Linked DNA regions of Caenorhabditis elegans. The protein of the gene in region 1 purifies or fractionates together with the protein of each later gene. This does not show direct contact. Each region holds a gene or a part of one and is shown in the gene's direction. Other genes may lie near its edges.

Evidence for each region.
Region 2: the proteins of bag-1 (region 1) and clp-1 fractionate together in Caenorhabditis elegans (co-fractionation; one large-scale study listed by BioGRID). This does not show direct contact.
Region 3: the proteins of bag-1 (region 1) and dpf-5 fractionate together in Caenorhabditis elegans (co-fractionation; one large-scale study listed by BioGRID). This does not show direct contact.
Region 4: the proteins of bag-1 (region 1) and vha-14 fractionate together in Caenorhabditis elegans (co-fractionation; one large-scale study listed by BioGRID). This does not show direct contact.

Annotation. Positions count from the first base shown.
Region 1 is NC_003279.8:6,563,102-6,566,170, reverse strand, and holds bag-1 (BAG family molecular chaperone regulator 1), read left to right. Parts: upstream 1-1,719; 5' UTR 1,720-1,721; coding exon 1,722-1,881; intron 1,882-1,925; coding exon 1,926-2,269; intron 2,270-2,331; coding exon 2,332-2,460; 3' UTR 2,461-2,542; downstream 2,543-3,069. Other genes in the region: mei-2 (Meiotic spindle formation protein 2), read left to right, coding at 321-433, 480-766, 814-966, 1,014-1,303; tmed-3 (GOLD domain-containing protein), read right to left, coding at 2,636-2,815, 2,981-3,069. UniProt on the Caenorhabditis elegans protein: May inhibit the chaperone activity of HSP70/HSC70 by promoting substrate release in an ATP-dependent manner.
Region 2 is NC_003281.10:7,979,413-7,986,833, forward strand, and holds clp-1 (Calpain clp-1), read left to right. Parts: upstream 1-1,661; 5' UTR 1,662-1,756; coding exon 1,757-1,858; intron 1,859-1,952; coding exon 1,953-2,076; coding exon of another isoform or gene 2,077-2,192; exon of another isoform or gene 2,193-2,260; coding exon 2,261-2,398; intron 2,399-3,051; coding exon of another isoform or gene 3,052-3,126; intron 3,127-3,318; coding exon 3,319-3,447; intron 3,448-3,494; coding exon 3,495-3,937; intron 3,938-3,979; coding exon 3,980-4,138; intron 4,139-4,208; coding exon 4,209-4,471; intron 4,472-4,531; coding exon 4,532-4,663; intron 4,664-5,037; coding exon 5,038-5,507; intron 5,508-5,551; coding exon 5,552-5,657; intron 5,658-5,705; coding exon 5,706-5,763; intron 5,764-5,930; coding exon of another isoform or gene 5,931-5,939; intron 5,940-6,252; coding exon 6,253-6,342; intron 6,343-6,388; coding exon 6,389-6,507; intron 6,508-6,610; coding exon 6,611-6,620; 3' UTR 6,621-6,916; downstream 6,917-7,421. UniProt on the Caenorhabditis elegans protein: Calcium-regulated non-lysosomal thiol-protease which catalyzes limited proteolysis of substrates. Required for assembly and maintenance of integrin attachment complexes which are essential for maintenance of adult muscle.
Region 3 is NC_003282.8:4,802,168-4,808,281, reverse strand, and holds dpf-5 (acylaminoacyl-peptidase), read left to right. Parts: upstream 1-1,695; 5' UTR 1,696-1,713; coding exon 1,714-2,000; intron 2,001-2,588; coding exon 2,589-2,904; intron 2,905-2,956; coding exon 2,957-3,466; intron 3,467-3,791; coding exon 3,792-4,237; intron 4,238-4,285; coding exon 4,286-4,430; intron 4,431-4,895; coding exon 4,896-5,299; intron 5,300-5,345; coding exon 5,346-5,451; 3' UTR 5,452-5,580; downstream 5,581-6,114. Other genes in the region: ubxn-6 (UBX domain-containing protein 6), read left to right, coding at 1-215, 265-375, 429-692; H06H21.11 (uncharacterized protein), read left to right, coding at 990-1,072, 1,126-1,474; dpf-7 (Dipeptidyl Peptidase Four (IV) family), read left to right, coding at 5,734-6,114.
Region 4 is NC_003281.10:9,506,215-9,510,274, forward strand, and holds vha-14 (V-type proton ATPase subunit D), read left to right. Parts: upstream 1-1,885; 5' UTR 1,886-1,893; coding exon 1,894-1,940; intron 1,941-1,992; coding exon 1,993-2,110; intron 2,111-2,159; coding exon 2,160-2,307; intron 2,308-2,538; coding exon 2,539-2,894; intron 2,895-3,091; coding exon 3,092-3,196; 3' UTR 3,197-3,543; downstream 3,544-4,060. UniProt on the Caenorhabditis elegans protein: Subunit of the V1 complex of vacuolar(H+)-ATPase (V-ATPase), a multisubunit enzyme composed of a peripheral complex (V1) that hydrolyzes ATP and a membrane integral complex (V0) that translocates protons.

The DNA of each region.
Region 1 (3,069 bases):
ACTATAAGAACTAAATTAAATATTAAATATATCGTTTCAAGAATTCATTGGAATGAGGCAAAAGTAAATACTTAGGATTAAAAAATCCAGCTTTATATTAAAAACTTTAAAGGCGCATATGAGATGTTATTCGGGTCCCGCAGCGCTCATGCGGGGTACGATAGTACTTCAAAGAATTACGCGGGAATTTCTTTTATGCGGGAAAACGGTTTTTTCTTGTTTACTAGTTCCTTTCTTTCGTCTAATTTTGATATCTTGTGTTTTTTTCCAATTATAAAATGTTTGTCTCTTCTTAAATTTGAAATTTTGAAATTTTTCAGATGTCAGGGCTTGACGACCGGAAAAAACTAACACATGCAAAAAATAGGAAGCCTCTCAACGACATTCCGAAATCCGCTGAAAACAGACCAAATACAAGATCTACTTCGAGTCGGTGAGTTCTACGAAAAAAGTATCTGAAGCGATTATATTTTTTTCAGACGCGGTGCGGAAAAGGACGTTCCCATCACTTTCATCGGGAGTTCTCGAACTGTGAAAGCCGATCTGCCCGAGTTCACAAATACTCGCTCAAGACGTCCATTGCATTCCGAGTCGAAGAAGGAATTGTCTCGGAACCCGGTTTCGAGAGGTGAAGAACATAGCAGTTCTTTGCCAAAATCCTCCCCAGAATCATCCGTGTCAGTCATGTCATCAAACGCGTCGTTGTGGTCCGCATGCACCGAGGAAGTGAATAAAATCGGTGTTTGTGCGAAGCGAGAGAGCAGAAGTAGGATTTGCAGAGTTTTGATTTTTCAGTTTATGTTTTCTTTTCAGATCTTCGTGTTTATAAGATGAAGAGTTTCACAAGTAACATGGAACAGATATTGTCAAACGACAACCAACTCGCTCCCACAGTCATTAGAATTCTGAATAGTAGAAACTCTTGGTGTCTCAACTCGTGCCATGCTTGTTTAACATTTATCATGGGTTGGTTTTGCTTCCTGATAAATTTATTCTAATGTTTTGTAATTCAGAAAATATCACGAGCGACAATTATGGGAAGCGATCGGCTTGCTTGAAGGCTCTTGCATCAATTACCAACAGTTTACTGGACACAATCATCGGATTTGCATCCACCAAAACTCGGCGAATTGGAGTCGATGTGGTAGCTGAAGAGCGAGCTGCAAAAGCAACAGAGTGCATTCACAATTTTCGCAAAATAGTTAAAAATCGGGACAAAATCTACAAACAGATTGACCAGGAGACAATTTACAAACTCGATGCCATTCTCGAGCGATTGAAAAAAGTTTCCAGCCATAAGTAATTTTCTTGTAAATAATTGCATACTTATTATTCAACCGATGGTTATCACCCAACTCACTGTTTATTTTATTGCTCATACATTGTGTTTCTTACATGTCCAATATAAAAACTATCATGTGCTCTCGTATTGTGACTTAAAAACAAAAATGGGCTAATTTAATGTCCCTCACAGTATCGTACGAAAACGGTGATTCATTGTCTATGGAATCGTTTTTCTCTGAAGTCTCTGAGCGAGTGCGCCCCATTGCAATCGATGTGTACACCTCGTGGAGGAACTGATTTTCGCATAAGCTTCTCGTCATTTCTAGAAGTTTCTTAATTTTCTAATAAGTTAACAATAATTTTGTTCCAATTTCTTATTTATCGACACTCGGAGGCTTCTCCCACTGCTAAAACTGTCTCAAAATCAATTTTCAGAAATGAAGGTGAATGTGTCGTGTTCATCCGTTCAAACTACAATCGACATTCTTGAGGAAAATCAAGGAGAAGACGAATCTATTTTGACACTTGGGCAGCTACGCGATCGAATCGCCACCGACAATGATGTTGATGTTGAAACCATGAAGTTGTTGCACAGAGGTTGTTTCTGATTTTTTGGAATAATGAGACAAAGTATTTTACAGGAAAGTTTCTTCAAGGCGCCGACGATGTCTCCCTTTCTACTTTAAATTTTAAAGAAAATGATAAAATCATTGTGATGGGTGGAAAAAATGCTTTGGTTGATGACGCGGGCTTCAAAATGCTCATGCAATATGAGAAGCATAATTTGAGCAATCTTCAAAAAGCCTATGATCTCAATTTGAGAGATGTCGCTGATTTGGAACGTGGTTTTCTCGAAAAACCAAAGCAGGTCGAGATGGGGAAAAAGCTGGAAAAGAAAGTGAAATATTTCAACGAAGAGGCGGAAAGACATCTGGAAACTCTTGATGGGATGAATATTATCACTGAAACTACTCCCGAAAATCAGGTGTGTCATAATTTTATTTTGTACTTTGAATAAGTTTTCGATTCAGTTCAATCAACTTTCAGGCTAAGCGAAACCGTGAAAAACGCAAGACGCTCGTAAACGGAATCCAAACTCTTCTTAATCAAAATGACGCACTTCTTCGGAGACTCCAGGAATATCAGTCAGTTCTCAACGGAGACATTCCTGAATAATTCTCAATTGCATAAAATTGCTTCGGGTTTTTATGTTATGAAACTCAGTTATAAATCAATAAATTATATTCTTATGCTATGTATCAAAGGGAGGAAAAGGGGCAAAACAACTGACGGGACCCATTAAAATGAGAAGGCTGCTAATTACAAAAAAAAGAGCAATGGTGTGAAAAAATTAATAACGAGTTCTTTTATCATTGAAAAATGATTTGAGCAGGAAAACTTGGCCAATTCCAATGAATACTACGACGGCAGATTGACCAAGGGACCAGATCATCACGCGCTCGTTGAGTTCTTCTGCACGTTTGCGACCAGTTGCTTCACGGAGACGATGATGAGTTTGATAGTCATCAATCTACAAAAAAGTTTATAAGTATGTCAAATGTCGGGTGAACAACTTTTTTAGTAAGCTCCCAGCAAAATAGAGTTGGAAAAATGAACGAATTCATAAAATTCGAAAAAGTTACGTTTTGAGCATTTTCTAATTGTAAAAATAAATCTTTTTAAATAAAAATCTTACTGTTCTCAATTTATCTCCAATAGCGACTGCATAATTTTCTAATTGAGTCATTGCATGAGCTCCTTGAGTAACGGCAGCATGAAGAGCAT
Region 2 (7,421 bases), on another chromosome or scaffold:
AGCCAAATAAAAAAAATTAAACAAAAAAGAACAGTCCTCATTTGGATTTAGATTTCTGTAATTGTAAGTCGTAAATCCGCAACATCTAGATAATCGTCAAATGGGGCTCAGACAGCTCAAACCCTGGCTTTTTGAATGATTGGCAACCAACGTTGGTGAAATTTTCTCATTTTTAAATCGCTCACCACTTCTTTATTCTAAAGAGTTCTCTGGTCACTCACCTATAAATCCAAAAAAAAGTGCTTCGATACACAAAATTTTATTCTCTTTTCAAAGAAAAAGGGACCTTTTCCTCTATGCTATCGATCACCTGCGAATAGAACCTAACGGAAAACAAAAACAAAAAGAGCAACTGAGCCCCGGAGCCTCACCAAAACCAATTATCAACGGCGCGGAACATCTTTTCCCCTCTATTTCTGCCATCACATTCCGTTTCGAGAAAAAAAAGAGCAACTTTTTCCTGCTCTGAGCCATAGGGTGCTCCTTTATTTCCGGTTGGTCCCTCTAGCTCTCCATTTCTCAAAACGAGCTGCTTGTTGCTCCCTTTTTGAGCTCATTCTGTGCTCGTTTCTCGAGGAGAATTGCCCGGTGCAATGAATGTATTCAATTGTTGTCTTGTTGGTGAGTCAAATTTGTATGAAAAAAAATTCAAGAAATGTATTGTATTGTTGTCTACGTGTGATCCAGAGTATCTTCAGAAGGTGTGGTTTTTTTTCTGAACTCTAAATTAAAAAAAAAACACATTTTCGGCCTGCTCCTGACACTGAGTTGACATGTCCTTCGCTTAGACTCATGGGAATGTAGAATTGGTTTCAAAAGCAAAACACGCAAACTCTGGTCCCCCGCAGCTTTTACATCGATTTCCAAATGTTTTTTGTTCGTTTTCTCGGTTTCAAAAGACAATTTTATCCGTATCAAAAGGTCATACAGGGAAATTTCGGAACAAAATTGAAAGAAAAATCCTTGAATAATTGAAAATCATGTTCAAAAATTACGATTTGCTTAGTTTTATCTGATTTTCTGAGCATATTCTATATTTCGAAACCCATTGAATGTGGCAATTGTTTTTTTGGTGTGTTGTGCCTCACTCCAATACCAATTTCCGTGACGATTAAATTGAAAACAAGACCGAAAAACCAAAAGAGAAACAAAAAAATAAAATCTAGTTTTTTTTTCTCCCCCTGTCACATTGAATTTATATTTTTATCCGTTTCCAATTAGGTTCATCCGTTTTGTTTGCCATCGATAGCTAATTGATGACAATCAAATAAATTAATAGATAAAGTTTCTATTTCCATTAACTCAAATTTCCTTTATTCTGTCAACTAAATTTATGTTGTTTCGTGCTCAGAAAATATGAGAAAAAAAACAGAAAAATGCATGCACAAAAAAGTTGACGCTAATCTTTGTCTCCCCAACTCCGAAGGCTCAAAGAGCACGCAAAGGGCTTATCGATTTTAAGAATTACACATTCCTTAAAAAAAGCTCTAACTCTAAAAATTATTTTATGTTTCCATTCTCAATTGCTGTATCCCCAAGAAGAGGTAAAAATTTGTTTTTTTTTTCTCTATGTTGTGAGCCTGATTGCTCTGCTTCTTCTGACTTTTTCGTTGAACAAAAATCAAATTTTATTTCAAATTCATAGATATTCTGTTTTGCAGACCCCGAAAATCGTGCGGCAGGCTCAAACGAGGAGGAAAACTATCAAAAAAAGACAACAACCGACGGTTTCACAGCAAAAGCCGACGGAATCAAAATGGCTGACGATGAGGAAGAAATTATTCAAAAAGTCGAAGTGAAGCCGGATGAATTCAATGGATTAATTGGATCAATTGCTGGTAACCTGATTAGAGATAAGGTTAGTTTAATTTTTGGTTAGAATATTTTTTTTTTAAATTTGCTACATAGACATGTTGAAATTTAATTGCAACCTAAAACTAATTATCTCACAGGTCGGTGGCGCCGGTGGTGATATCCTTGGAGGCCTTGCCAGTAACTTCTTCGGAGGTGGAGGCGGCGGAGGAGGCGGCGGCGGAGGCGGAGGTTTCGGTGGTGGAAATGGAGGATTCGGTGGAGGTATTTTTATTTTCAAAATTGTCAGACAAAAATTCCCTAAAAATTCAAGTTCCTTTTTTTGTGTTAGAAAACATTTAGATTCACTCAAAACATCACCGTGTGGCTTAGATCAGTGAATTTTTTCTCACACCTTATATGTTGTCCATGTTATCGTAATCCCATTTGCTGCTACAGTAATCCATAGGTTCGAACTACGATCAAGGCGGGAATGGGAACAGCGGAGATCAACAAAAAAGGAAACGAGACATGGCGAAAGACTTGATTGGAGGAATATTCGATAATGTGGTGAATAGGAAAGGAAAGAAGGAGCAGGATAACTATGGTAGCGTTTGTGTTTTTTTTATTTGCTGTTTTGTGCTTTCTATAGATTTGATTATATAATTAGCTTAATCATTTTCTCAAATTTTCTGAACATGGTCTGTAATTTATTATCCTCGGTTTTTTTTCTAGTTTTTCATTCTTGGACGTCTGGGAATGTGAAGCTTCTTTGTCTTTTGTTCCGTAATTGTTCACCAATCTTCAAGCTTTTTTCTTGAAAATAGCGCAATTCCACGCTCATAGCACAAATTCATCAACTTATGTTAAAAATCAGGTGGAGGTCGACAACAGCCGCCACCAAATAACAATTTTGGTGGTGGAGGTGGATCTGGCGGTGGCGGAGGGTTCGGAGACATTCTTGGGGGACTTTTGAGCGGCGGAGGTGGCGGCGGTGGACAAAGAGGCGGCGGAGGGCAAAATTACGGTCTGAGAGTTTGAAAATACAATAAGTTAAGCTTCTACGCACTCACCAACACTCACTTAAATACTAACAACACCACTCATTTCCAAAATTTGATTTGAAAAATATGGCTATTTTGAAAGAAGCTTTAGACTTTTAAATTCTCCTGTTAATTCGCTTTTGACTGATGATTCGTGATTTTCCTTTAAAAATGCAATATTTTGCATGTTTGCTGTGATATTTCGTGTGAAATTTAGGCGGAGGCGGCAGTGGCGGTGGCGGTGGTGGAAACAACATCGGAAGCTTGGTCGGATCACTTATTGGTGGTGGTGGTATGCATTAGGATTGTAGTGTGCATGTAGTATCATAAATGTTGTGTTAATATTTTAATAGTTAATAGAGCTGATGATCAGAACATTTATAGATCTTATTGACACTTATTTATCACATCTAATTGTATTTCATTTCTGAACTATCTACACAAATGTGGCACCCATGAAATTCAAGCTAGAGTAATATTTTAGGCGGAGGTGGTAACTACGGCGGTGGTGGTGGAAATCAAGGAGGCGGCGGAGGCGGTGGCTTTAACTTCAATGATATCGGTGGACTCATCAACAGTATGGGAGGTGGTGGTGGTGGTGGCCAGAGACAAGGTATAGAACATTTATTAATATACTTTGAATAATTTGAAAAATTTTAGGCGGTGGTGGAGGAGGCTTCGGAGATATCCTCGGAGGAATCGGATCTCTCATTGGCGGAGGAGGCGGTGGCCAGTACAATGGTGGAGGTGGAAATGTGAACCCGAATAATCTCAACGGTGGAATGGTGAATGTTATCGGAAATCTCATTGGAGAAGCTGCTCACAGATTCCTCGGCGTTGATCCGGGTACAGGCAGAATCATTGGAGCTGTCGCTGGAAATGTGATTATGGGACTTGGTGGAAAAGATAATTCTCTTGGAAATATCGGAAAAGTTATTCTGGACAATATTATTTCTGGAAAGTTCCGTAGGGATGTTGATCCATTCGTTCGTCCAGGACCAGATCCAGATAGAGGAGGTGGTGGAAGTGGTCCAAGCCCTATTTCACCAAGACCAACTACCGAACCACAAGACTTCTATGAGCTCAGAGATCAATGTCTTGAGGTGAGTGTTCAAAACATATCATTTTTAAAATAATAAATTCAGAGCAAACGACTATTCGAGGATCCACAATTCTTGGCCAATGATAGTTCGTTATTCTTCTCGAAACGTCCACCAAAACGTGTAGAATGGCTTCGTCCTGGAGAAATCACAAGAGAGCCACAACTGATTACAGAGGGTCACTCGAGATTTGATGTTATTCAGGTTAGCTCTTGGATTATTTTCAGAATTTTTAATATTTGAAATGTACTATTAAAATTATATATTCTTTCAGGGAGAACTCGGAGATTGTTGGCTCTTGGCTGCTGCAGCCAATTTAACTCTCAAGGATGAGCTCTTCTATCGTGTGGTTCCACCAGATCAATCTTTCACTGAAAACTACGCTGGAATCTTCCATTTCCAATTCTGGCAGTACGGAAAATGGGTGGATGTTGTTATTGACGACAGATTACCAACGAGTAACGGCGAGCTTCTCTATATGCATTCTGCTAGTAATAATGAGTTCTGGAGTGCACTTTTAGAGAAGGCATATGCAAAGTAAGTTCGGACTTTTGACCGACATTTATGAAGGAATAAACTAGTTAATTAATTTTCAAGATTGTTCGGATCATACGAGGCTCTCAAGGGAGGTACCACATCTGAAGCACTTGAGGACATGACTGGAGGACTCACCGAGTTTATCGACCTCAAAAACCCACCAAGAAACTTGATGCAAATGATGATGAGAGGGTAGGGATTAAAGTCTAATTTACATTATTATCCAAAAACGAGTTGTGCCAAACTACAGTACCCGGTCTCGACGCGACAATTTTTGTTAATTATGAATGTCTGTGCGCCTTTAATGAGTACTGTAGTTTCAAACTTTCGTTGATGCCGAATTTTCATTGATTTTGCATAGTTTTTTGTTAGAAACAGAAATAAAACAATTAAGAACACACAAACTATGAAAAATCGATAAAAAATTCCACAAAAATAAAATCTTGAAAGTAAAGTACTCTTTAAAAGTGATCCCCTATTTATATTCGACAAAAAGTTGTCGTGTCGAGACCGATTACCGTATTTTTTGCGCAAATTTTAGCGTCCATGTATTAACAAAATTTCAGATTCGAGATGGGATCCCTATTCGGTTGCTCCATCGAAGCCGATCCAAATGTTTGGGAAGCAAAAATGTCGAATGGTTTAGTGAAAGGACACGCCTATTCAATTACCGGATGCCGAATTGTTGACGGACCAAATGGACAAACTTGCATTCTTCGAATCCGTAATCCATGGGGAAATGAACAGGAATGGAATGGACCATGGTCAGACAATTCACGCGAATGGCGAAGTGTTCCAGATTCTGTAAAACAAGATATGGGACTGAAATTCGATCATGATGGAGAGTTTTGGATGTCATTTGATGATTTTATGAGGAATTTCGAGAAAATGGAAATTTGCAATCTTGGACCAGATGTTATGGATGAAGTCTATCAAATGACTGGTGTCAAGGCCGCTGGAATGGTTTGGGCTGCAAATACTCATGATGGTGCATGGGTTAGAAATCAAACAGCTGGAGGATGCAGGAATTACATCAGTAAGTAAATATTCATCTACAAATATTTTCAATTTTCAATTCAGACACTTTCGCCAACAATCCACAATTCCGAGTTCAACTTACCGATTCGGATCCTGATGATGATGATGAACTCTGCACTGTAATATTCGCCGTTTTGCAAAAATACAGGTAGCGCCACCAGATAGGGAAATCATTTTTATTTTTCCAATTTTTAAGACGTAATCTGAAACAAGATGGACTTGACAACGTGCCAATTGGATTTGCTGTCTATGACGTGAGACTATTGTTATTTTGAAGAAAAAACAGGATTTGGCCTGAAATTTACGACAATTCTAGAAAACCTCAACTTTAAATAGAATAGTTGGAACATTTGAAAACTTAACTTTCCCCTAAAACTACTAAAAAATTTTTAAACCTTTTAAATACGCTAAAAATTTACAGATGAACAATGTAAGTTGGCTAATTGAAAATCTTGTGAAACCGGTAAAATTGTCCAAATCACGTCGTTTCTAGTTCAAAATAACCCACATTCAGTGAACCTCACCCACTTTGTTTAGTGTGTATTGTTTTATTGTTGAAGTACACGTGCTGATTTTTTGACATTATCTAACCAATATTTATGTTTTGTTGTTTACTATTGGATGTGTGAAACGTATCAAATAACAGAAAAATGCAGTCATTTGAAAGAAAATTGTATTTTCTGTCTCTGTGTTCGTCCGAACCAAAGATTTTTTCAAGCTTTATAAAATTACATACTATTCAGGCCGGAAATAACCGTGGTCGACTGAGTAAACAGTTCTTCGCTGCCAACAAATCCGCGATGAGATCGGCCGCTTTCATCAATTTAAGAGAGGTAATTTTCTATCTTCAAAATTAAATTTTAAAAACCAAATTTTCAGATGACTGGCCGCTTCCGTGTACCCCCGGGCAACTATGTTGTCGTTCCATCAACATTTGAACCAAACGAGGAAGCCGAGTTCATGCTCCGTGTCTACACGAATGGATTTATCGAGTCGGAGTGAGTAGTGAATATCAAGATTTTGTACTTTGTTTTGATTTAACAGAATATATAAGCTGAGCTTCTGCAGGTACTAATAATTCATTGATTCAATATTTTCCAGGGAACTGTAAGCCATTCTACTCACAACTACAACAACAAATAGCAAGATTGGATCTTCCTATACCTATTGTTTTGATCCACTTCGTTATGTATAAATCTCTCTGTCACTCGTTCTATTTTCATCATTAACCCCCCTACCCTCTCTCTCTTTCCTCAATCGTCCCTCTTTTCTCCACTCTTTCTGCCTAATTTCCCGTCGATGTTTGCCGGATCTGCTCTGTAGAATTGTAATATTTTGATATGCTTGTTGTTTCACTGTATTCTTTTTTTTTGCCTTTTCCAGAGTAAATAAATTTTCTAGTTCTGATGAAAGATATCCAAAATTTCCGTCTTTTCAAAAATCAAGCCTGTCAAAAGATTAAGCATACGAAGTATTTTTAAATGAACAAAATTATCTTATATTCTTCAACACTTAAAAAATATTCACAGATTTCATTAGTATTGACTCTGTCGCTACGAATAATACCACATACACTAAACCATTTCTGATCTAGCTTTAAAAATTTCTCTTTTTTTAAAAATCAATTAGGAAAGATAAAAATATATTTACCTCGAGTAGTGGGAGAAACTGTAAAAAATCACGTTTTACGGTGAAGTAATAATACTTTTTTTTAGCAGCTTCGAACAAAAGTCTTTTTTCCAGCCCAATTTTGCATAAAATTTGTTTTTATTAAAATGAGAAAAAATTCATTTCTTTAATCGATTTCCAAAGCTTCGACATTACCGTAATCTTTAAAGGCGCACATTCTATTCTGCAGTAATCGTATCCTTCGTGTCGAGACCGGTCGGTACCGTATACTTTGGACTCACTA
Region 3 (6,114 bases), on another chromosome or scaffold:
TGTTCACAAAACCATCAGATGTTCATTTGGTGGAGGCTCTGGAAGCTTTGAAGGATGGGCAGGCTGTGCCTATAAAGGTTGCTAGAAATCTAGAGATCTTCAAGCTAAAAGAGGGGCAAAAACCGAAAGCACCAAAGTTGGCAGATGATTTTTACAATTTGTCGACTGCTGAACTCAAAGCCGAACAGAGAAATAAGGAGATGCAGGTGGAGAGAGTGAGTGGAGCTTTAAATTGAAAAATCACACAATAAATTGAATTTTTAGATGCTGACATTGCGTACGAAGGAAATGAGACAAAAAGACGAACAAATGACCAATTATCGCTACAAATATACGTTGATTCGTGTCAGATTGCCTGGAAATTTGTTGATGCAGGTATGTATATTCCAGAAATTCAAGTGATTAATTATTTTATTTTATTTTTCCAGGGAGTATTTGGTTGCCATGAACCATTTTCCGCAGTCCGTGTCTTCGTTGCTTCAACTCTTTCCGATGCTCTTTCGACATCCGAATTCACTCTTCGTGACGCTGCCAGTCAACTCGTGGAGGATGAATCTGCATCGTTGGCTCAACTCAGTCTTGCTCCAGCTGCTCTTCTTCATGTCGTCTTCGCTGAAAACCTGTCTGATTATGGACAAATCGTTGCCGATGAGCATATCGAAATTATCCAGGAGCTTGAAGCTTCCGACTAATTTTTGTATAATTTAAAAATATAATTCCCGGCTATTAGTGTGATATGTTTGTCATTATTTTTTTCCGGTACTGCTGATGTTTTATTTCGCCTAATCGCTTTCGTTGTATTTAACTTATAAGATGCAAAAAGATTCGAGCAGCATATTAAAGATTTTGTACAGAACCGCACTTTAACTGTTTCTCTATTCGTTGTATATCGATTTTTATTTTGAAAATTATTCACTCTATCAAGAAGAAGCCGAAATTCCGCCCACTGCATCTTTTTTCAGTTGTGCTTCTCCAAAAACCATTTTCAGATGTCACAGGATCCCACGATCTCCAATTTTTTAAATGGAAAACCCATCATCGCACCTGTCGGGCCATCTTCTTTATTAACCAGGTTACTTTGAAGCAATTATTTAATTTTTAAGAAAAATTAATTCGAAATTTAAGATTACAATCGTTCCTGCCTCAAATGGAAGAAGCCAATCGAAATATGCCGGAAAACGCGTCAGCTGACGCTTTTCATATTGAAAATGTCGAGGATGACAGCTCGGACGACAGCGATTCGAATTCAGAATCGATTTCGGAAGAGGTACCTGTCACAACTGACGAAAAGAGCACAGCGAGTAGTACACAGAGGATTGAAATTGATTTAGACGTGTTCAAGGAGATGAACAGCGCAGTTGATGACAGAGATGTCGGAATTCAGAATGTCGAAGCTCTTCCAGAAGCATTTCAGTCAAAAGGAGAGGATTCGAAACCGGAAATTACAAAGAAACCGTTGATTGAAGAATTATGAAATTTATGTTTTTTCTATTGTTGTGAATTTTTTGTTGAATTTGTTACTTTTTGACCTACCCCTCGAAACATTTTCTCACATTGCGAAATGAATCAATAAAATTTCGATTTTAGATTTTTATTCATTTATCTCATTGGTTTCTATCCATTTTTGAATTACCTTCCCATTTTTATTTATCTCTGCCTTTTCTAAAATTCTCCGAAAACTTTTCCGAAATGCAGCGTCTTCTCCTTCGTAAAATGTCGTCTGCTGTGGTGACAAGTGCAGCTGAGTATGATGTGAGAGCGTTGGAAAAGCTCAAGGATCTTTATGGCGATCTGGCACAAATTCCGATTCCAACTCAAGGACGAATCGAGAAGAAGTCAGGAGATGAGTTCATCAAAGTCACCACGACTTGGGATAACCGTGCCATGCAGCTGAATAAGTTGACTCGTCAGCAACGTGTCAGCTTGATTGGAAAAAAAGGACCGGAAGTTACGGATCGGTATCTGATGACGTCGGTTTCGGTGCCAATGTGTAATTATGAGTTAGTAAACAATTATTCGGAGATTGAATGGAGTCTGTGGGAATTTTGCCAAAAATAACAGAGAACAGTGACAATATGACGAATAGAACTGCTGAAATAATTATAGAATTTCGCTAAATTTTTTATGTTTTCTTTTCATTTCGCGGAAAACCCAATACTTTCTTTAGAAAACTGCATAATATTTGAGTGTCCGCGTGATGCATACACTTACGCACATAGTGCGTCGGAGAAAACGCTCCTGAATTCACTTTTTTTTTTGAATATTCCATTTTCTTCATTCTTTCAGGTATTTCATGCTTTTTTCGATTATTTATCACAAATATGTAGTTGAAATTGTAAAACTAGTTAAAATTTTCCTTCTTTTAATAAAAATTGAATTTGGGAGCGTTTTCTGTGACGCCTTTTTTGCGTGAGTGTAGACAATGCGCGGGTGCTCTAATATAATTCAATTTCAGCCAAATTGAAAAGATTCCATGATTATTTTAGCGGTTTTATTCGGTTCGTTGATATTTTTTCTCTTGGTATGAGAAAATACCCCCGGCAGACGCTACTCTATCTTTATGAATATGGAATAAATTCTAATTTCAGAAACCAAAGAAGTGTGTATTCCGCATCAAACTCCCGTGTTGCTCAACTTCTGACCATCGGAACTGGAGACGATAAGAAACAATATTTGAAGATCTACAATCTTGAGGAACATGTGGAAGAGCTTTGCGCTGATCTTTCCACTCAGAAAAAGCACGGAACAATTCACGGTGGTGGTTGTATGCCGTTCGGATGCCTTCACTTTTCGTACGGGGAGGGGCATGTTTTGTACGTGGCTGAGAGAAATTCGAAAACTTCGCAATACTTTGATGCTGATATAGAGTGGGATAACGAGACGAAGGTTTTCGAAAGCAAAGTGGTATAGATTAAATAAAAAATATAAGTTTCGATTTCTAGAGAATTATTTGCAGGGCAAGAAATTCGAGCTCACCGAGTCATGGGGAGAGCAGAACGATGGTGTCAAGCAGCCGGTGATTTGCATTGTCGACATCTCCAGTGGAAATGTGACAGCTCTCGATCAAATTCCTGCGAATATTTCCCCATCCTACACGAAATGGGCTCCAGGAGATGCTGGCGTTGTTTTCTTTGGCCTCGAAGAGCAGGACACCCCACGGCTTGGCAGAATCTACTGCAACAATCGCCGTGGAAATCTTTACTACTATGAGCTTGCGACCGCAAAGCTGACGAAGATCAGTGAGGGTGAAATCTCGGCTGAAGAATTGCAATTTTCGCCCGACGGAAATACTTTGGTGTGGTTCCAGAGAGCAGCAGATGGACCACATCAAGCAGTTCTTGAAATGGTAGCTGTTGAGTGGCCATTGAAAGTAGATTCTGCTGAAAACATTGAGAAGCGAATCATTGTTCCGATTGTGAAGGAGAAGAGATCTGCAGACGAATTCCAGGGATTCACATTCCCACAGGTACTCAGGCAACTCAAATCTAATATGAAAATATTAAATAGCAATATTTTTGTAGTAAATACGAGAAATAGTGCGTCCATATAAGATTACTAAAAATTTCGAATAGATTTCGATTTTGTCTCAAAAGATTACTAATTTGTCTCAAAAGACTGTGAACTCATCTCCGAAGATTGAGATTTTGTCTCAAAATATTGAAAATGCAAAAAACTGCTTCATCGAAGATTTTTGGAATTAAAGTTTTTTCCTGTATTTCGATATGTACATGAGGAAGGGACAGAATATAAGGCAATATAATTACCGATTTTTCAAAAATCAATATTTACAGACAGCAACTCGTTCTTGGTCTACTGATTCCAAGCGTCTTATCCTTTCAAGTTCCTGGTGCAGCAAGTTGGAACTGCTTTCCGTTAACATCGCAACTGGGAACATTGAAAAATTAACCAATCACTCCATATGCCTTGGAACTTGGTCTCTTCTTGATGTCTATGATAACGAAGTGCTCGCAGTCGTCTCTGCTCCGAATCGCCCACCAAACGTTCTTCTGGGACAACTTCCAGGGACAGGAAAAGCCGAGGAAATGGTTTGGGTGCGAATCGACGAGGCGAAGGCTGTTGATAAACGTCGTCATCTCTTCGAGTTCTCCTGGGAATTTGTGAATCTTGAGCGTGACGGAGCGACTTACGAAGGAATTCTGATTGTTCCAAATGAGGGAAACAATCTTCCAATGGTTGTGAATCCCCATGGTGGACCTCATGGTGCATCCATGGCAAGGTGAGTTACTTTTTCCCTTTTTTAAACGTTTTTCATTTAAAAGTTCAGCTGGCCACGTCGGGATCTTACTACTCTTCTCAACTCTGGATATGCCGTCCTTCAAGTCAATTTCCGTGGATCACTCGGATTTGGTGACGATTTTATTCGTGCTCTGCCTGGAAACTGCGGAGATATGGATGTTAAGGATGTTCATGTAAGGAGAACATTTTTTTAAAACTTTCTCTGTGTTATGGCAAGACTCAACCGGATGTTATAAAGCTTCAAAGTTCCGAAAATCAACCTCTTCGCCCGAATAACTTGAATTTCGCGCAAAAATTAACCCACTTACCGATTAATTTATTTTTCTGGAATTTAGTCGATTTTTCGTGTTTTTATATTGAAAATTTAAATGTTTTCTGACAAAACTTTTAACAAAAGTCAAAAATAATACGAAAAATCGTTTTTAGATTCAAAAAATGAATAAATCTATCCGCTGAAAATCCATGAAACACATTTACGCGCGAAATTTAAACAACGATAATGATTTTCGGTAGTTTGAAGCCTTTAAACATCCGTTTTAGACATTCTTGTGCTGTTTTGCATATCGTTTTGTCAAAGAATTTAGAACGTTTATTCGACTACACCGCATGTATTATCAATGTAATTAATACTAATTCAGAACGCAGTTCTCACCGTCTTGGATAAGAATCCACGTATTTCTCGAGACAAGGTTGTACTCTTCGGAGGATCTCATGGAGGGTTCCTGGTGTCTCATTTAATTGGACAATATCCAGGATTCTACAAAAGTTGTGTTGCCTTGAATCCAGTCGTCAACATTGCCACAATGCATGATATCACTGATATTCCTGAATGGTGCTATTTCGAGGGAACCGGAGAATATCCAGACTGGACAAAGATCACGACCACCGAACAACGGGAGAAAATGTTCAACTCTTCGCCAATTGCTCATGTGGAGAACGCAACTACTCCGTATCTCTTGCTCATTGGTGAAAAGGATCTTCGTGTCGTTCCTCACTACAGAGCATTTATTCGTGCTCTCAAGGCTCGTGGAGTTCCGGCAAGGTATTCTTGAAAAATTGTTTGCAAGAGAAATTGTTTTTTTTTTCAGGGTTCTCACCTACCCACCATCGAACCATCCACTTGATGAGGTCAACGTTGAGGCCGACTATGCAATCAACATGGTCCGCTGGTTCGAGAAATCACTGTCTCAGTAAATATACTAATGTCTATATGTATTTATCTATTCATCGGCTGCTTCTTTTCCTGCCCCCGGTATTTTTTCATTCATTTTCCCGTGATATTGCCTTGTAAATCTCTTATATATGAACGGTTTGTATATTCTGGAGGATTTCAGTTTTTCAACGGTTTTGGTTTTCCCATTTTTAATTATTTCTAGTGGAATTTCTAAATTGAACATCTGAAATTCCTAGAGATTTCTTACATTTCTTACAGGCAGTCAATATTTAGCAGCTTCATCATATACGTGTACAACTATAATGTCTACAGACGAGGAGGTCCCGTTGGCCACTCGTCAAATGCATGAAGCTTTTGTCACAATCTCACAACAAATGCTTCAGTTCCGGGTGAATACTGCACGTATCACAACTCCTTCCGATTACGAACCACAAGAAGTTTGGGTCATTTACGAGACATTAGAGTGCCCAGATCAACGGCAATACATGAGATCACGTGGATTAGTGTCGAGGAATAAACTTTGGATGTTAATGGAAACGGAAACGGATAAAGATTGGAAATACTTCACCCATATATTTTCGGATGATTGTAAAGTCTGCGTATTCGTAGCAGAATCCATAGAAATGGGTCACGATAAGGATGTTATTCAAGTAGAAGATGTTCAATATAAGAAGGCAAAATTC
Region 4 (4,060 bases), on another chromosome or scaffold:
CGACGACGTGCGTTATCACCATTTGATAATAGAGTGAATTTGAAAATACAAGGTAAAGAAATTTATATTTATTAGAGTTTCACATTTTTTACTTAAAAATTATAATTTTCAGACGAAAAATCCTACGAAATCCGAGAGCAGTGGTTGATCGAAGCAATTCAATTGGTACTTCTTTCGCTTCCAACTTCAAGACGTCGGAAACTTCACAAATTTGTTACATTCATTCAATCGATCGAAACGAATGCAGTCTTCGACCTCGCTGATCCTTCTAATGGATCTTCCAACAATCGTGAAGCGGTAAGGAGGGGATCATTTTGCAAGAAAACTACTGTCTCGACTCGACAAATTTTTGTAAGATAAGAAAATGTATGAGTCTTTAAGGAGCACTGTAATTTCAAACTATCATTTCTGCCGAATTTTTATGGATTTTAATTAATTATTTGATAAAAATATATTTATCTATTAAAAAACTATAGAACTAAAAAATTAACACCTATATTTCAACACTGAAAATTCTGCAGAAATCTTCATTCGTTTCATTCGACAAAAATTTTTCGCCTCGAGACCGGTACCGTACTTTTGTCGCTATATTTCGTGTCTGTGTAATATCAATTTTTAAATTTTCGATTTCAGGCAATCATCGGACTCTGGACAGGTGTTTGTAGTAAATGCCGAAAGCAACAAGGAATGCTGATTACCGCTGTCCTCCTCGCAAACGTTCAATCTCTTTTTGCTGTTCCTGTTGAATTTATTGAACGGGTCAAACGATTGGAATGTGAAGAAAAGAACACCAGAAGTCGACGTGATTGGCAGCCACCATGTGAGAAATCGAAGAAAGGATTGCTCACACGATTGTTGCGTAAATAGATCTTACAATCTTCGCCCTATAGCATGTATATTATTTATTATATTTTTATTTTGCTCCCTTCCCCCCCCCCCCCCCCCCACTCACCTAATTCTTGTGTCATTATAATTTTCTAAAGTTTTGTGAAATAAATTTTGACGATGATTTATCAATATTTGTTTATTTTCTTCTATGCTTTCTTCTTGGTTAATTCTCCAATCTACTTTTCTTAAAATTCAATCTGTCAGCTTATTTCGGGACATTGAAAATTACGGTACCCGGTCTCGACACGACTATGTTTTGTTGAATACAAACGGATGTGTGCTTTTAAGGATTACTGTAATTTCTTACTTTCTTTTATGCGGAATTTTTTATCGAATTTTCATGGTTTTCGTTAACAAAATATATTTATTTATCAACAAACTGAAATAAAACAACTAAAACACTCAAATTTTGACAAATTGTGAGAAAAACTGAAAAACCCGAATGTAAATTCCACAGCAGCGAAAGTTTAAAAATGCATTACTCTTGCACACCAGTTTGTAATTTACGAAAAATAATTGTCGTGTCGAGACCGGCTACCGTATTTTTTTACGAAAAATTTCGTGTCTAGGTAATATTTATTAACAAACAAGTCATTAATGCTAAAAGAAGTGGAGGGACCGGCTTTTAAATTGCGAATAGTACATTTATTTTAAAATTAGATTTCAAAAAGTTTTGAAGCTGAAATTTTAAAAAAATCGAAGATTAATTTTTAAATTGATTATCCAACCCCTTTAACCTTTTACTGAAAATGATATTTTCTATTGGGATAAAGTTTTATTCCAACAATTCCCAATGAAACATCAAAGATATGCCTTCTTCTCTCTTCTCTCTTATATTTCCACCTCATGACAAGACTTGCAAACTCGCTCTATTGAAAATGCCGTCGATCAATCGGCAGTCATTGGTCTTTTGTGTATTTCTTGCGAACAACCGATTTCGCTCATTTTTGCCATATTTTAATGTTTTTTTCATAGAAATAACAAACTTTTTTTCCAGGTCGAACCATGTCCGGGGGAGGAAAAGACAGAATCGCGGTTTTCCCGTCTAGAATGTGAGTTTTATAGAAGAAAAACTTGATGGAAATCTAAAAAATAACTATTCAGGGCGCAAACCCTGATGAAAACCCGTCTGAAGGGTGCTCAAAAGGGTCATTCTCTGCTGAAGAAGAAGGCCGATGCGTTGAATCTTCGTTTCCGTGACATTTTGAGAAAGATTGTTGAGGTTTGTTTGAAAATTCTGAGGTGAAACGCTAAAAATCAAATGTTTTCAGAACAAAGTCCTCATGGGAGAGGTTATGAAAGAGGCTGCATTCTCTTTGGCTGAAGCCAAGTTCACTGCTGGAGATTTCTCTCACACTGTCATTCAAAACGTTTCTCAAGCTCAATATCGTGTTCGCATGAAGAAAGAGAACGTTGTCGGTGAGTCATTCGAGAATTTTTATTTTTTCGCGCGATTATATTTTCACTTTTTTCCACATTTTAAGAATAAACTATGAGTTTCTTTTGGCGTTATCGAGTTTACTTCTCAAAAAACGATAGAATTAGAACGAATTAACTTAAAAGTGCGAAAAAACTAAAAGTCGTGCTGCTGAATTGCGAGCTGTAAGAGTTCAAATAATTTGATTTTGTCGGAAATTTAACCGTTTTCAGGAGTTTTCCTTCCGGTATTCGACGCCTACCAAGACGGACCAGATGCATACGATCTTACTGGTCTCGGAAAGGGAGGAGCCAACATTGCTCGCCTGAAGAAGAACTACAACAAGGCCATCGAATTGCTCGTCGAGCTCGCCACTCTTCAAACATGCTTCATCACTTTGGATGAAGCCATCAAGGTTACCAACAGGCGTGTCAATGCTATCGAGCACGTTATCATCCCACGTATCGAGAACACTCTGACATACATTGTGACTGAGTTGGACGAAATGGAAAGAGAGGAGTTCTTCAGAATGAAGAAGATTCAGGCTAACAAAAAGAAACTGAAGGAACAAGAAGCTGCTCAAAAAGCAGTGAGTATCGACTTTTCATTTCTGGGTTTCTCACCTCACACGATATTGAATAATATTATCAGAAAAAAGTCGAAAAGTTTTTACAACGGTTTTTCATTTTTCCAAATAGAACCGTCATGAAAGAATTGAAAAATGCTGTCACTACAGTGTACCCATAAGAGACGACTTAAAACTAAAAAAGATAAATAAAATTTCAGTTGGAAGGACCAGGACCAGGAGAGGACGCAGCACATTCTGAAAATAATCCACCGCGAAATTTGCTTGCATCGGAAGAAGATAACTTGCCAGTCCTTTTCAATTAACCATTTGATTTTCTGATTGCCTCACAATGATTTCTGCTGTAATTTTAATTTTTTCGGATTACGGTAGGAACTCATTTGACCACTAGTCTCTTATCATTATTTGTAATCAGATCCCCCTTCCTTCCCCTCATCCAACACCCTCCGATGTTCTTCCTGTTTTCTATGTGGTTTCTTCTCGTATAGATTGACAAACATTCCATTAATTTTCCCGTATGCAAGAACAATCGATTCTGTGAATATGTACTCCAACCATTTTCTTTTAAAACTTAAAAATTCCTAACATTTTCCTGCTTCCATTTTCCATTTAGACTCGTGATGTTATCGTAGTAAAGGTTTGTAAATGAAATCTTCAGTAAATAAGAATTTCCACCGCGGTAAGTTGTTTCCTAATTATTTATTTGTTCAGAAAAAGAGCCGTTATTGAATTATGTCGTCGTCGACTGAAAGTGACACTGTGAGCAAGAGAAGAGCCATTTATAATTGCGTTTTTGGAAAGTGGTTTGAGTGGTGTCGTGTGGTCTAAAATATTGAAGATACGAAAATTAAAGTGTGAGAGACGGAGAGGCTCGTTATTCGTGTGAAGAGCCCTTCTATTCACAATTTGTTCGGCAGAACATTTTCCTTGCCTATTCTCTAAATTTCGATATGGGTTTCTATGTAATGTCATCTTCTTGAAATTCTGAATTTGTATTAGTGCACTTAGATATGGGGCGGATTCTTAATTAAGATTAATTAAATACCACTTAAAAAATTTTCAATTTTTTAATTTTCAAAAAGTTTCATAAATTTCTTAATTTATTTTTTTATAATCCATTAATCCTCTTCACTCACTCTGTTTGTGCTCTTCTTCTACTCATTCTCATC